Macaca mulatta: one gene and its partners. The protein of the gene in region 1 interacts with the protein of each later gene in a biochemical or structural test. Links are inferred from orthologs where the notes say so. Each region holds a gene or a part of one and is shown in the gene's direction. Other genes may lie near its edges.

Region 1 (4,333 bases):
TTGTAATCTTTTTCTATTAAAAAATACTACCTTATTCACAAGTCATTTTCCAATTCTGCCTGTGTAGTTTTGTGATAGATTTCTAGAACTGAGATTGTTCTATCAGATGGTGAAGTCATACATAAATTTGCAAGATATTGCCAAACCATCTTTTACTATAGTTGTAACTATTTTTTATTCCAACGAATGATATACAAGATATTCTATTTTCTTTCACCATGACCAACCCAGTAAGCTTTCAAACTTTTGATTTTCACCAATATGATAGGTGAGAATTGTTATCTCAGCATGGAGGTAATTTGAATTTCTTTTATTGTGAGGATTGGATTTTGAAACAGGAAAAAGGGCAAGCAAGCCCCTGTGATGACCAAGAGCCTGAGCATGCTTTGTTATTTCCTCTCTTATGTCAAAAAGCATCTTCACACCACAATTGTGAATTTATTCACAAGAATTACCAAATTTCTTCTTTCGTTATTAACAACTCTGTCTTCAACTGCCATAGTTTCCAGAGAATTGAATGATGAATTGTCCAAAACCACAGAAGAAATGTTGCTATTTGAGAGCATATCTCTCTGATAACAAGTTCCTCAATCAGTGAAACTACCCTATGCCAAATGCAAAGAGTGGGAATTCCAAGGAAGAACAAAGATCTGTTACAAGTAAGTTCCATATAAGATACACCCAAGTGTGAGTAAACAGCTGGTAAGCAAAGGAGCAAGGTGAAATAAACACCTAGGTTAAGAAGTTAAGATCTCCAGGTACTTCAGAGATGAAGAAAAAAAAAAAAGAAGAAGAAGCTAAGAGAAGTAAAGATGAATCATTAGCACATAGTTCTATTTTCATAGATAACATTTTTGAGATATATATACTGATTTTCTGTAGATGTATGAGTATACCCAGATATCCCTCCCACCTGCACCAGCCCTTTCTCCAAAAGGAACAATGCTTGAAGGTGTTCAAATGGCCTTTTTTCACCAGTGGCTGGGAGCCTTAGCCATGGAATGGGCTGTCCTCATGCATAGTGTCCCACTGTTTTTTATTCCCATTAATGTCTTCCATTTTTAGTGTCATTTGACCCATGGAAATCCCACCCTTTCAATTTTCCCACTGTATCTGAGCGTATCAATTCTCTCAGCATCCAAATGCTTTTTGAGCACCCAGTCTAAGGCAAGCATAGCCCAATCCTAGGCAACTTCAGCAGAAAGTGGGTACCATTAGAGCAAAAGTAGTGGTGTGCTTCCTGGAAGGGATACCAGTAGCCAGAGGTGATAATAGTCCATGGTAACATACAAGGCTTCAACAAGTTCCAGGAAGCTTGACTTCAGCATTGCCTCCCTAGCTATGAGCATCACTGATTCCATTGTGTGTTTAAATGTGCTTTACCCACTTCTGCAAGTCACATGTGGGCCATTTAGAGGGTGAAAAGTGTTGGTCATTTTATAACCCCGCCCTTCTAATTTCCTGAATCTTGTGAAGCTGGCTGAGTCCCGCAGACCACTAGAGGAAGAGGTATTTCCACAGTAGGTACAACTGCTTGCACATCTCTCCCCAGAGCTGTCCCTTGACTTGGGGGTGAATTTCAGGCCAACAGGGCTACCTGGGATACAAGAGGGTTCTCCATGGATCTGCCTTACTACCACGGACGTCTGACCAAGCAAGACTGTGAGACCTTGCTGCTCAAGGAAGGGGTGGATGGCAACTTTCTGTTAAGAGACAGCGAGTCGATACCAGGAGTCCTGTGCCTCTGTGTCTCGTGAGTAGCCTCATTTTGCACACATCTGACATCGTATGTTGAATGTGGCAATGGCTGCCACACAGTACAGGAATTCATATCCCTCAGTATTTCACTCTGACTTTGGAGTCTCAATGAGTAGAGTGAGAACTAATGGACACTGCCAGGACAGGAATGTATCTGTCCATGCTCCTCCATCTGCCTGCTCTCCCTAGTGTAAGGGCCCTGCAAGCAGACTCTGCAGCAGCAGGAGGGATATGGTGGTGGGGAAGGGAAGGGCTGCAGAAAGTATAGGGGTGCAGGGGGATGGAGCAAAGGTACAGGGGGATGGAGAAAATGTCAGAGGTCCTGTCCTCCAGAGATCTGTTTATTTGGTATGGAAAAGGCTAGGGGTTCTTTAAGAAGTTTCAATCTGAAGGACTACTTATTCTGCAGCATCCGCTTGCAATAGTTAAACTATAAATACAATCATATTTCACATTTTGTCAGATTTGTAAAGGACTTCAATATTCATCATTTCCTTTCATCCTTGTAGTCTATCGAGGCAAGCATAAGCAGTCACCATTTCATAAGTAAAGAAACAGAGACCTGAATTTCTCAAATAATTTGTTTGTGTTAAAACTCATTTGGAATTTCCAGAGTCTAAGTTAAATATGAAATTCCAGGCCGGGCGTGGTGGCTCATGCCTATAATCCCAAAACTTTGGGAGGCTGAGGCAGGCGAATCACTTGAAGTCAGGAGTTTGAGACCAGCCTGATCAACATGGCAAAACCGCATCTCTACCAAAAATACAAAAATTAAGCTGGTGTGGTGGCGTGTGCCTGTAATACTAGCTACTTGAGAGGCTGAGGCAGGAGAATCACTTGATCCCAGGAGGCAGAGGCTGCAGTGAGCTGAAATTGCACCACTGCACTCCAGCCTGGGCAATAGAGGGAGACTCTGTTCCAAAAAAAGTAAAAAGAGTGGCTGGGCATAACGTCTCACTCCTGTAATCCCAGCACTTAGGGAAGCAGAGGCAGATGAATTACCTGAGGTTGGGAGTTGGAGACCAGCCTGACCAAAAAAAGAAACCCCGTCTCTACTAAAAATACAAAATTACAGGTGTGGTGGCACATGACTGTAATCCCATCTATTTGGGAGGCTGAGGCAGGAGAATCGCTTGAACCCGGGTGGCGGAGGTTGCAGTGAGCTGAGATGGCGCCATTGCACTCCAGCCTGGGCAACAAAAGCAAAACTCCATCTCAAAAAGAAAAAAGAAAAAGAAAAAAAAAATTCCAGGCCACAGTATCAAAGAGACCCAGCTGAAGGAACTTGTTTGTGCCCAGTTTAGAAAGCAATCCTGAACAGAAATCACTAGAAACCTCCTATTTTTATGTATGTTCCTCTTTGTAAAGTAGGGACCACTGAACCTTTTACTATACCTGTAACAGAAATTAAAATCCAAGTGTCTCTTGTTAAAGAAAAAAATTGCTTAATGTCCCTTGTTAAATAATGGTTGGGAAGACTTTATTCAGGATCATCACAAAGGTACAGTGACCACTGCAATGAGCTCTTGCGGTGCAGAAGATAGATTGGACTCAACTCTGAATCCAGCATGGAGAAGTGGGAATTTATGGCCAAGGAGCAGTGTGGCTGTCAGTAGATAGAAAATTACTCAGAGGAAACAGCAGGGGTAAAGTGGATTCTGGCTAAGCCAGCCTAACAGAACTGTAACTGAAGACAGGCCAGGGTGATCAGATGTTGCCTGGGGGATGGTGGAGGATGAGGAATCTGATCAGAATCTGACAGTGATCAGATAGCTAGGGTGAGGGAGGAGTCCTTGCCAAACTGACATAGTAGAGTTCTTTGCCAAAACTTGATTTTACAAGGAAGTACACAAATGGGCCTTGGAATAGGCTCAGAAGTCTGATTATAGACAAAGGTGATTGTCATTACTAATAGAATACATAGGGACATATTTCTTTCTTTAAATGGTAATGGAGATACAGGCTATTTCTCTCATACCTACATCCACAGTACCATTTAAAGAAAAATATATATTGGCAAGGCACGGTGGCTCATGCCTGTAATCCTAGCAATTTGGGAAGCTGAGGTGGGCGGATCACTGAGGTCAGGAGTTTGAGACCAGCCTGGTCAACATAATGAAACCCCCATCTACTAAAAATACAAAAATTAGCCAGGCATGGTGGGTGCACCTGTATCCCAGCTACTTGGGAGGCTGAGGCATGAGAATCACTTGAACCCAGGAGGCAGAGGTTGCAGTGAGCTGAGATTGCGCCATTGCCTGTGAGACAGAGAGAGACTCTACATCTCAAATAAAATAAAATAAACAAAGAGTGGATAAGATCTGATTACATGTAAATGGGATGGAGGGCATTTTATGAAGGGGAGGAGGTAGGAACAGGAGTCTAGAACTAGGTTATTTTAAAGGATTTACATACAAGGTTCCTAAAATGTAGTTTGGAAACCAGCTTTTGGAAAAGGAGGGTGGGATAAGATAATGGAGTTTTACAAGAATGGTTCTATAGATAGCAGGGAAACATGGATGATTTCTGAGCAGGGAAGTGATAAGACTGGTGAATTTAGGAACTTCGATCTGAT
Region 2 (3,648 bases), on another chromosome or scaffold:
GTTCCTTCGGGGCCAGGAGTGCGTGGAGGAATGCCGAGTACTGCAGGGGTATGAGGGGCAGAGGAGAGGGGTGGCTGGAGGGGTGCATGGGGCTCCTCTCAGACCCGCTCACCACTGTCCTTTCTCTCAGGCTCCCCAGGGAGTATGTGAATGCCAGACACTGTTTGCCGTGCCACCCTGAGTGTCAGCCCCAGAATGGCTCAGTGACATGTTTTGGACCGGTGAGCTGCTGGCGGGCTCAGAGCTGGGTGGAGGGGTGCAGCGAGGGGGATTGCCAGGGACTTGGCAGGATGGCGAGACACGGCAGGGTGTGCCGTCTGGTAAAATATCCCTGGAGAGGGCTCAGCACTCAGACCCGAACAGCAGCAGAGTGGCAGGAAAGGGGGCCCGGGGGACCCTGGGGCCCTTCAGACTATGAAAAGGTTCTAAGGAGGTCTGCGTTTGCGGCTGTGGCTGTGGCTGTGCTAGGGTGGTTAGCCCTGCGGGCTCAGGCGTCAGACTACCTGGATTCAGACCCAGGTCCTGCTTCCAACCTTGGTGTTTTATTCCTAAAATGGGTATTGTAATAGTACCTACCTTGCTGGGGTGTGGTGAGAATGAAATTAAACAGGGCTTGGCACAGTGAAGCCCGGGAAAGGCTTTCTATGCAGCAGTGACTGTTGTTACTCGCTGTTACACCTTAGGTAATGCGTTTTCTTCTCTGGGTGCCTCCCATTCTCTGGCTCAAGTCCCCGCCCAGGATCAAGCTTGGAGGAGGGCCCCGAGGGAGGGTCCACAGAGACTGGGTGAAGAGCAGAGGTGTTTGTCCCAGGAGCATGGTGAAAATTGCTGCTGGGTGGCCTTGGGAAGCACAAAGGGGACCCAACTAAGGGCCTGATCCTACTGCCCTGGGGGTGTCAGTGCTAGCCCCCTACAAACCTTTTCTGCCCCTCCCAGGAGGCTGACCAGTGTGTGGCCTGTGCCCACTATAAGGACCCTCCCTTCTGCGTGGCCCGCTGCCCCAGCGGTGTGAAACCTGACCTCTCCTACATGCCCATCTGGAAGTTTCCAGATGAGGAGGGCACGTGCCAGCCTTGCCCCATCAACTGCACCCACTCGTGAGTCTGAGGGTCTTTTCTGCAGAAAGGAGGACTTTCCTTTCAGGGGTCTCTCTGGGGCTCTTACTATAAAAGGGGACCAACTCTCCCTTTATCATATCTTATTTCTGATGGCAAAAATAACACATCGTTGGGGCCGGGCACGGTGGCTCACGCCCATAATCCCAGCACTGTGGGAGGCCGAGGCGGACAGATGACCTGAGGTCAGGAGTTTGAGACCAGCCTGGCTAACACGGTGAAACCCCGTCTCTACTAAATAATATAAAAAATTAGCCGGGTGTGGTGGTGGGCGCCTGTAATCCCAGCTACTCGGCAGGCTGAGGCAGGAGAATGGCATGAACTCAGGAAGCGGAGCTTGTAGGGAGCTGAGACTGCGCCACTGCACTCCAGCCTAGGCAACAGAACGAGACTCCATCTCAAAAAAAATAAAAATAAAAATAACACATTGTTAAAATGGTAAAATTAAAACATGAAATATAAATTAATGCCCTAGCAGTTCTATCCCCACTGTTAATAATTTGAAATATTTTTCCTCTAGTTATTTTTGTCTGTGCACATTCTAATATGTATATATAAGTTAACATACATTAATATTATTCTCCAGTTATTTTTATCTGTGCACGTTCTAACACACACACACACACACACACACATATATATATATATATTTAGATGGAGTCTCACTCTGTCACCCAGGCTGGAGTGCAGTGGTGCAATCTTGGCTCACTGCAGCCTCTACCTCCTGGGTTCAAGCAATTCTCCTGCCTTGGCCTCCTGAGTAGCTGGGATTACAGGAACATGCTACCTTGCCTAGTTAATTTTTGTATTTTCAGTAGATGGGGTTTCACCATGTTGGCCAGGCTGGTCTTGAACCGCTGACCTCAGGTGATCTGCCAGCCTCGGCCTCCCAAAGTGTTGGGATTACAGGGGTGAGCCACCATGCCCAGTCATATATTTCTTTTTACCAAATAGAATCATAGTTCATATTGTTTTTGCAAATTGCTTTTTCTCACTTTCCAGGACCTTGAAATGTTTTTCCATGTTCTAACATGGTGATCTACCTTATTCTTTTAATTTTTCTTATTTAGTTGTCTTTACACATGAAACACATGAATACATCCTTGTGATAAACATTTTCAGTAACATAAAAGTATAAATGTTACAAAACCACTCAACTCCCTGTCCACCCAGCCTCTCCTGTGGGCTGGGAGAACCACCGCATTGACTTGTGTGTTCATCCTTCTGGGCTCTTTTCTGCACACTTATATAGACACACTACATTTATATTAGGTTGAGTCAAATAAGATTGCTGTTTGTGTAAACCAAAAATGGGCACGCGGTGACTCACACCTGTAATTCCAGCACTTTGGGAGTCTGAGGCAGGCGGATCACTTGAGATCAGGAGTTCGAGATCAATCTGGCCAACGTAGCGACACCCTGTCTCTACTAAAAATACAAAAATTAGCCGGGTATGGTGATGCACACCTGAAATCCCAGCTACTCGGGAGGCTGAGGTAGGAGAAAACCCGTGAGGCGGAGGTTTCAATGAGCCTAGATTGTGCCACTGCACTCCAGCCTGGATGACAGAACAAGACTCTTGTCTCAAAAAAAAAAAAAAAAAAGGTCAAGAAACAGCAATTTCATATAGTTCCACTTGTCATCAGATTTGTGTGCGTGTACATTTTGTAATGTAAATGGGATCATTCTCTTCATACTATTCTGCAGTTTACTTTCCCTCCGACTTGAGGTATCCTTTCTTGTGAGTACAGACAGATCTACCATCTTTATTCTTTTTTAATTATTCAACCTATAACATGGATGTAATTTCACTTTGTTTTTGAGGGATATTGAGCTTGTTTCCCTGTTTTCGCAGTTTATTGCAATTGAGCTCCATACACAAGTGAGCATTCTTCTGTATGCCCCCTAGTGTCCACACATTGGCATTTTTAGGGTATATAGTGCTGGCAATGTTTATCACAAGGATGTATTCATGCGTTTCAATTTAAAGACAACTAAATGAGAAAAATTAAAAGAATATGGGTCCGGGCTGGGTGCAGTGGCTCACGCCTGTAATCCCAGCACTTTGGGAGGCCGAGGCAGGCAGATCACCAGAGGTCAGGAGTTCAAGACCAGCCTGGCCAACATGGCAAAACCCCGTCTCTACTAAAAATACAAAAATTAGCCGGGCGTGGTGGTGGGCACCTGTAATCCCAGCTATTTGAGAAGCTGAGACAGGAGAATTGCTTGAACCTGGGCGGCGGAGGTTGCGGTGAGCCGAGATTGCACCAGTGCACTCCAACCTGGGCAACAGAGCGAAACTCCATCTCGAGAAAAAAAAGAAAAGAAAAAAAAAAGAGAATATGGGTCCAGATCCATATGGATCCTAGATCCAGATCACGGTATTAGAACATGGAAAAACACTGCAAGATTCTGTTAAGTGACAAAAGCATTTGCAAGCAATATGTACGGTCTGTATTCAGAGGAGAATTTGCTGCATCATAGATAATATTTCGTAGGTGTTGCCAAACCGTTCTCTGGAGAAGTCGTATCA
Region 3 (4,152 bases), about 1.7 Mb from region 1:
AGCCCCAGTTAAATTAAAAAGCCTTTTATCCAAGAGACAGGCAATAACAAATGCTGACAAGGATGTGGAGACAAGGGAACCCTTGTACACTGTTGGTGGGACTATAAGTTAGTACAACCACTGTGGAGAATGGTTTGAAGGTTCCTCACAAAACTAAAAATAGAGCTACCATATGATCCACAATCTCACTGCTCGTTGTACACCTAAAAGAAAAGAAATCAGTATATTGAAGAGATATCTGTATTCTCATGTTTATTACAGCACTATTCACAATAGCCGAGGTTGGAAGCAACCTAAGTGTCTATCACAGATGAGTGAATAAAGAAAATGTGTTACATATACACAATGGAGTACTATTCAGCTAAAAAAGAATTAGATCCTGTCATTTGCAACGATGTGGATGGAACTGAAGATCATTATGTTAAGTGAAATAAGCCAGGCACAGACAGACAAACTTCACACGTTCTCACTTGTGGGAGGTAAAAAGTAAAACAATTGAACTTGTGGACAGAGAGTAGAAGGATGGTTACCAGAGGCTGAAGGGTAGTGGGGGTTGGGGAAGAAGTGGGGATGGTTAATGGGTACAAAAAATAGAAAGAATGAATAAGAACTAGTATTTGATAACACGACAGTGTGACTATAGTCAATAATAATTTAATTGCACATTTAAAAATAACTAAAAGTATAATTGCATTGTTTGTAACACAAAGGATAAATGTTTGAGGTGATGGATACCCCGTTTACCCTGTGTGATTATTACACATTGCATGCCTCTATCAACATATCTCATATACCCCATACATCTATATATATACATACTGACTATGTACACACAGACGTTAAAAATTAGGAAAAAACAAACACAACAAGGAGACTGAGCTGGAAGGATGGAGCTCTGGGATAGATTTGTCCTACATCCCTGCCTGGGAGGGAATCCACACACATGTGAGAAGACAAACTAGGAGCATGGGACACTAAATTATACCACATTGCACTCATTGGGGTCACAGGGTTTCTTCCAAGTGACCCGCACTTGCCCATCCCATCTCTCTGTGACAGTGGCACCCGCACCAGACTACATGTTGAAGTGTTATCTGAAATTATGAAATAAAACAGAAGTAAGAGGTCTATGAGCTCATCAAAATGCAGTCATCTAAATTCAGCTGTGAACTGCCAAATTTGAGGAGTGATCTGACAAAACATCTTTTCTTTGCAATCCAAGAAGACTTACCGGAGAGAACTGCTCAGATAATCTGCAACATCCGGTTCCTGGAGGCAGCTAAGGAAAGAAGCAGGGGTGCATGTTTCTGCCCAAAGCCGGGGTTTGGCCGAAGTGACTACACACCCCCTTTCCTGGCTCCCATAGGCTAAGTGCCTGGCTTCTTGAGAAGCCTGCTTCTTGAGAAGAAAAAAGTGATTTAAAGCCTCATGGGAGATGAGCAATCCTCAAGACACAAGCAGAAAAAGTCCCGGTGATACAGGAAGCGGGTTCAGGAACCTGCTGGTTCCTGATACATAAATTAGACAGCAGAGGCAGCACTGCATGACACGAAGCTCGCTCTGCCTAGCGTCTGTGAGCAGCTGCCAGGCTCTGACCAGGACCCCTTCCTTCTCCTCACTGGCTGATGGATCCCAAGGGGCTCCTCTCCTTGACCTTTGTGTTATTTCTCTCCCTGGCTTTTGGGGCAAGCTATGGAACAGGTGAGTGTTCATCTGCCTGCTGGTTTGAGTCCCACGTTAGCTGCCTGGAATCAGCATATTTTCGTGGATGGAGAGAAGGTGCAGGGCTGGGGATTGTGTTTGGTCACTCTTCCTTAGGGACTGGCTGTCAGTTTCAACTGCCTCTTTCAAAGAGGAAGGAACATTATGAGTTCCTGGGCCCTTGGGTTTCCAAGACTCAAGCCCACCAGCCCCTCTTCCAAGGAAATGAGGAGCTCTAAGCCAAAGGCTCCAGTCACTTCTCTGACCAGTCTTAGGGTGACAGGCTCTGGTAGAAGTCCTGGTTGAGTGGTTGGTTTTACATGGGCATTTTTCTGGCAAAGATCCAGCCTAGAGAGACTGAGCTGGATGGAGTGAGCTCTGGGAGATGATTTGCCCTACATCCCTGCCCTAGGAGGGAATCTGTGCCCATGCAGCCTGACAAACCAGGAGCATGGGTCAACAGAAAGCATTGGCTAGAATGGGAAGAGAGAGTAGAAGTGAAAACTCCAGGCTTTTGGCTAATAACCAGCAGTGACCACAATGTGGTCATACTGGTGTGTATTTTCTTGGAAGAGAAGGTCCAAGAAAGCAAGAGGGAAGAAGTTGGGATTTCTGGAGCCTAGGGCTGGTTACAGTATGTGGGAAATGCAAATTGGGGACCCTCAGAGAGTAGCTCCAGCAGGAAGGCCAGACAAGGGCTACCTTTGGATCTGGACTCTGTTCCTGTCTTTCTGGATATCTTCTTCCCAAGGCAAGCTCTTGCTTTCTGTTTAGAAGTATCAGGGCTATGAGAAAAGGTATTTGAGAAAGAAAAAGCCAAGCAAGAAGTGGACTTTGGACTGCCTGTGTGAGTGGGGTGAGAATCTCTTTCTGCTTATTTGTTTAGACTGTGGGAGGTAGCCTGGAGTAGAAGAGGTGGCATTACGGACAAGGGGGGAAATCCTGAGGCCCAGGGTGTTTTAAGCTTGGGGTTTTCAAGACCGCAAATCCAATATGGACTTTTCCAGGAAAAGCACCGAGATATACCAGGGATGTGGGGGTGCTGCACAATGGATGTGTCTTTTACCAGACAGCCAGATGAACAGGGCTTGCTCAGCCACTTCCTTTTGGAATCTGCAGACCCATGGGTCATACTTCCCAAGGTCTAGGAGAGACAGAACTGAGCTCAGGGCTCAGAAAACCAAACTGAACCACTTTAAGTGGTCACAGGGAAAGCCACGCTTCCCTCGTTGCAACCAATTTGTGACTGCACCATTTTTGGAGCACTTCTTGGTGACTGTAAGGAGTGATGGTGCTGAACTGTGAGCTGGACTTTTCCATCTCTGTGCTTGCTAGCCTCTTGGCCAGCCTGGCCCATAGCATCTTAGGCACTGCTGACCAATAGCTGGTCCTACTGAGGCTTTGGAAGTCACCGGTCAGGGAGAAGCAGCCCAGCCCCACAAGGCAAGTCTATCCAATCGGAGGCTGCTCACTTCATTGCATGTTTTCTTCTTTGAATCTTTCCAAAAGCTTTTCAGTGTTTTTATTTTTAAATACACACCCTTTTGTGAAGCCCCAATAAAACCCAGGAAGAAATGCTTTGCAAATGCGGCAGGTTAGTCATGACAGATTTGCCCAAGCAAGAAGCTTGATACTTGTAAAACTGGCACCCACTCCCATTCTCATTTCTACTCAGCTCAACTTCTAATTCCCAGTCAGAATTGTAAAAATCAAAAAGTCCACATGTCCCTTCCCCAAGTAAAGTGAATTTTTCATTTCCCCAATGAGATTTGTTTTAATAGACTTTATTTTTTAGAGCAGTTTTAGGTTCACAGCAAAGTTGGGCAGAAAGAACAGAGATTTCCCATATACCCTCTGCCCCATATATGCATAGCCTCCCCTGTTATCAATATCCCCCACCAGGGTGGTACATTTGTTATAATTGATGACTTTACCTCAGTGAGTTTTTTTATTCCTCCATGCAGGTCCTCCGCACCCCCTTCACACACTTTGGGGGAAGGTGAGGGACAAGTGCGTGGGTTCTAGACTTGGCCTAACCTTGTATGTTCAGTGGCCCATTCTATCCCAAGATGTCAATCTAGGCACTTCTATTTCTCAAAAATGTTAATACTGTGATGTCATGTGATGCTGTCACTTTCATTGTCTCCCTCACTGGACTGGAAATCAGAGTATCAGGGCTAATTGTTTTTATCCATAGATTGACTTTGAATGATCCCATTCAGCAGCTATTAAGGACAAATGATGTGGCAGCCACATCATTTGTCAAGGGTGCAAGGGTGCAAGGTGTGGGGAAAACAAAATGAACAACAGCCACTGTGCAGCACCTGACACTGTTTCTGTACTGAAAGCCTGTACACAAATGTTTGTTGAGTGAATAATATTAGTATATACTGCATACTTGCTTTATACCAGGCACTGTTCTAAATGCTTTATGTGTGTCAGTCATTTCAT

Evidence for each region.
Region 2: the proteins of SH2D1B (region 1) and ERBB2 form a complex in vitro, tested with the Homo sapiens proteins (2 studies listed by BioGRID and IntAct, with this or other methods). The link is inferred for Macaca mulatta from reciprocal best matches to the Homo sapiens genes SH2D1B and ERBB2.
Region 3: the proteins of SH2D1B (region 1) and SLAMF1 interact in a test that uses a peptide from one of them, tested with the Homo sapiens proteins (2 studies listed by BioGRID). The link is inferred for Macaca mulatta from reciprocal best matches to the Homo sapiens genes SH2D1B and SLAMF1.

What each region holds. Positions count from the first base shown.
Region 1 is NC_133406.1:104,486,914-104,491,246, forward strand, and holds the start of SH2D1B (SH2 domain-containing protein 1B), read left to right. Parts: upstream 1-1,488; 5' UTR 1,489-1,619; coding exon 1,620-1,753; intron 1,754-4,333. UniProt on the Homo sapiens protein: Cytoplasmic adapter regulating receptors of the signaling lymphocytic activation molecule (SLAM) family such as CD84, SLAMF1, LY9 and CD244. In SLAM signaling seems to cooperate with SH2D1A/SAP.
Region 2 is NC_133421.1:64,070,343-64,073,990, forward strand, and holds part of ERBB2 (receptor tyrosine-protein kinase erbB-2), read left to right. Parts: coding exon 1-48; intron 49-130; coding exon 131-221; intron 222-683; coding exon of another isoform or gene 684-785; intron 786-936; coding exon 937-1,097; intron 1,098-3,648. UniProt on the Homo sapiens protein: Protein tyrosine kinase that is part of several cell surface receptor complexes, but that apparently needs a coreceptor for ligand binding. Essential component of a neuregulin-receptor complex, although neuregulins do not interact with it alone.
Region 3 is NC_133406.1:106,184,329-106,188,480, forward strand, and holds the start of SLAMF1 (signaling lymphocytic activation molecule), read left to right. Parts: upstream 1-1,252; 5' UTR 1,253-1,625; coding exon 1,626-1,701; intron 1,702-4,152.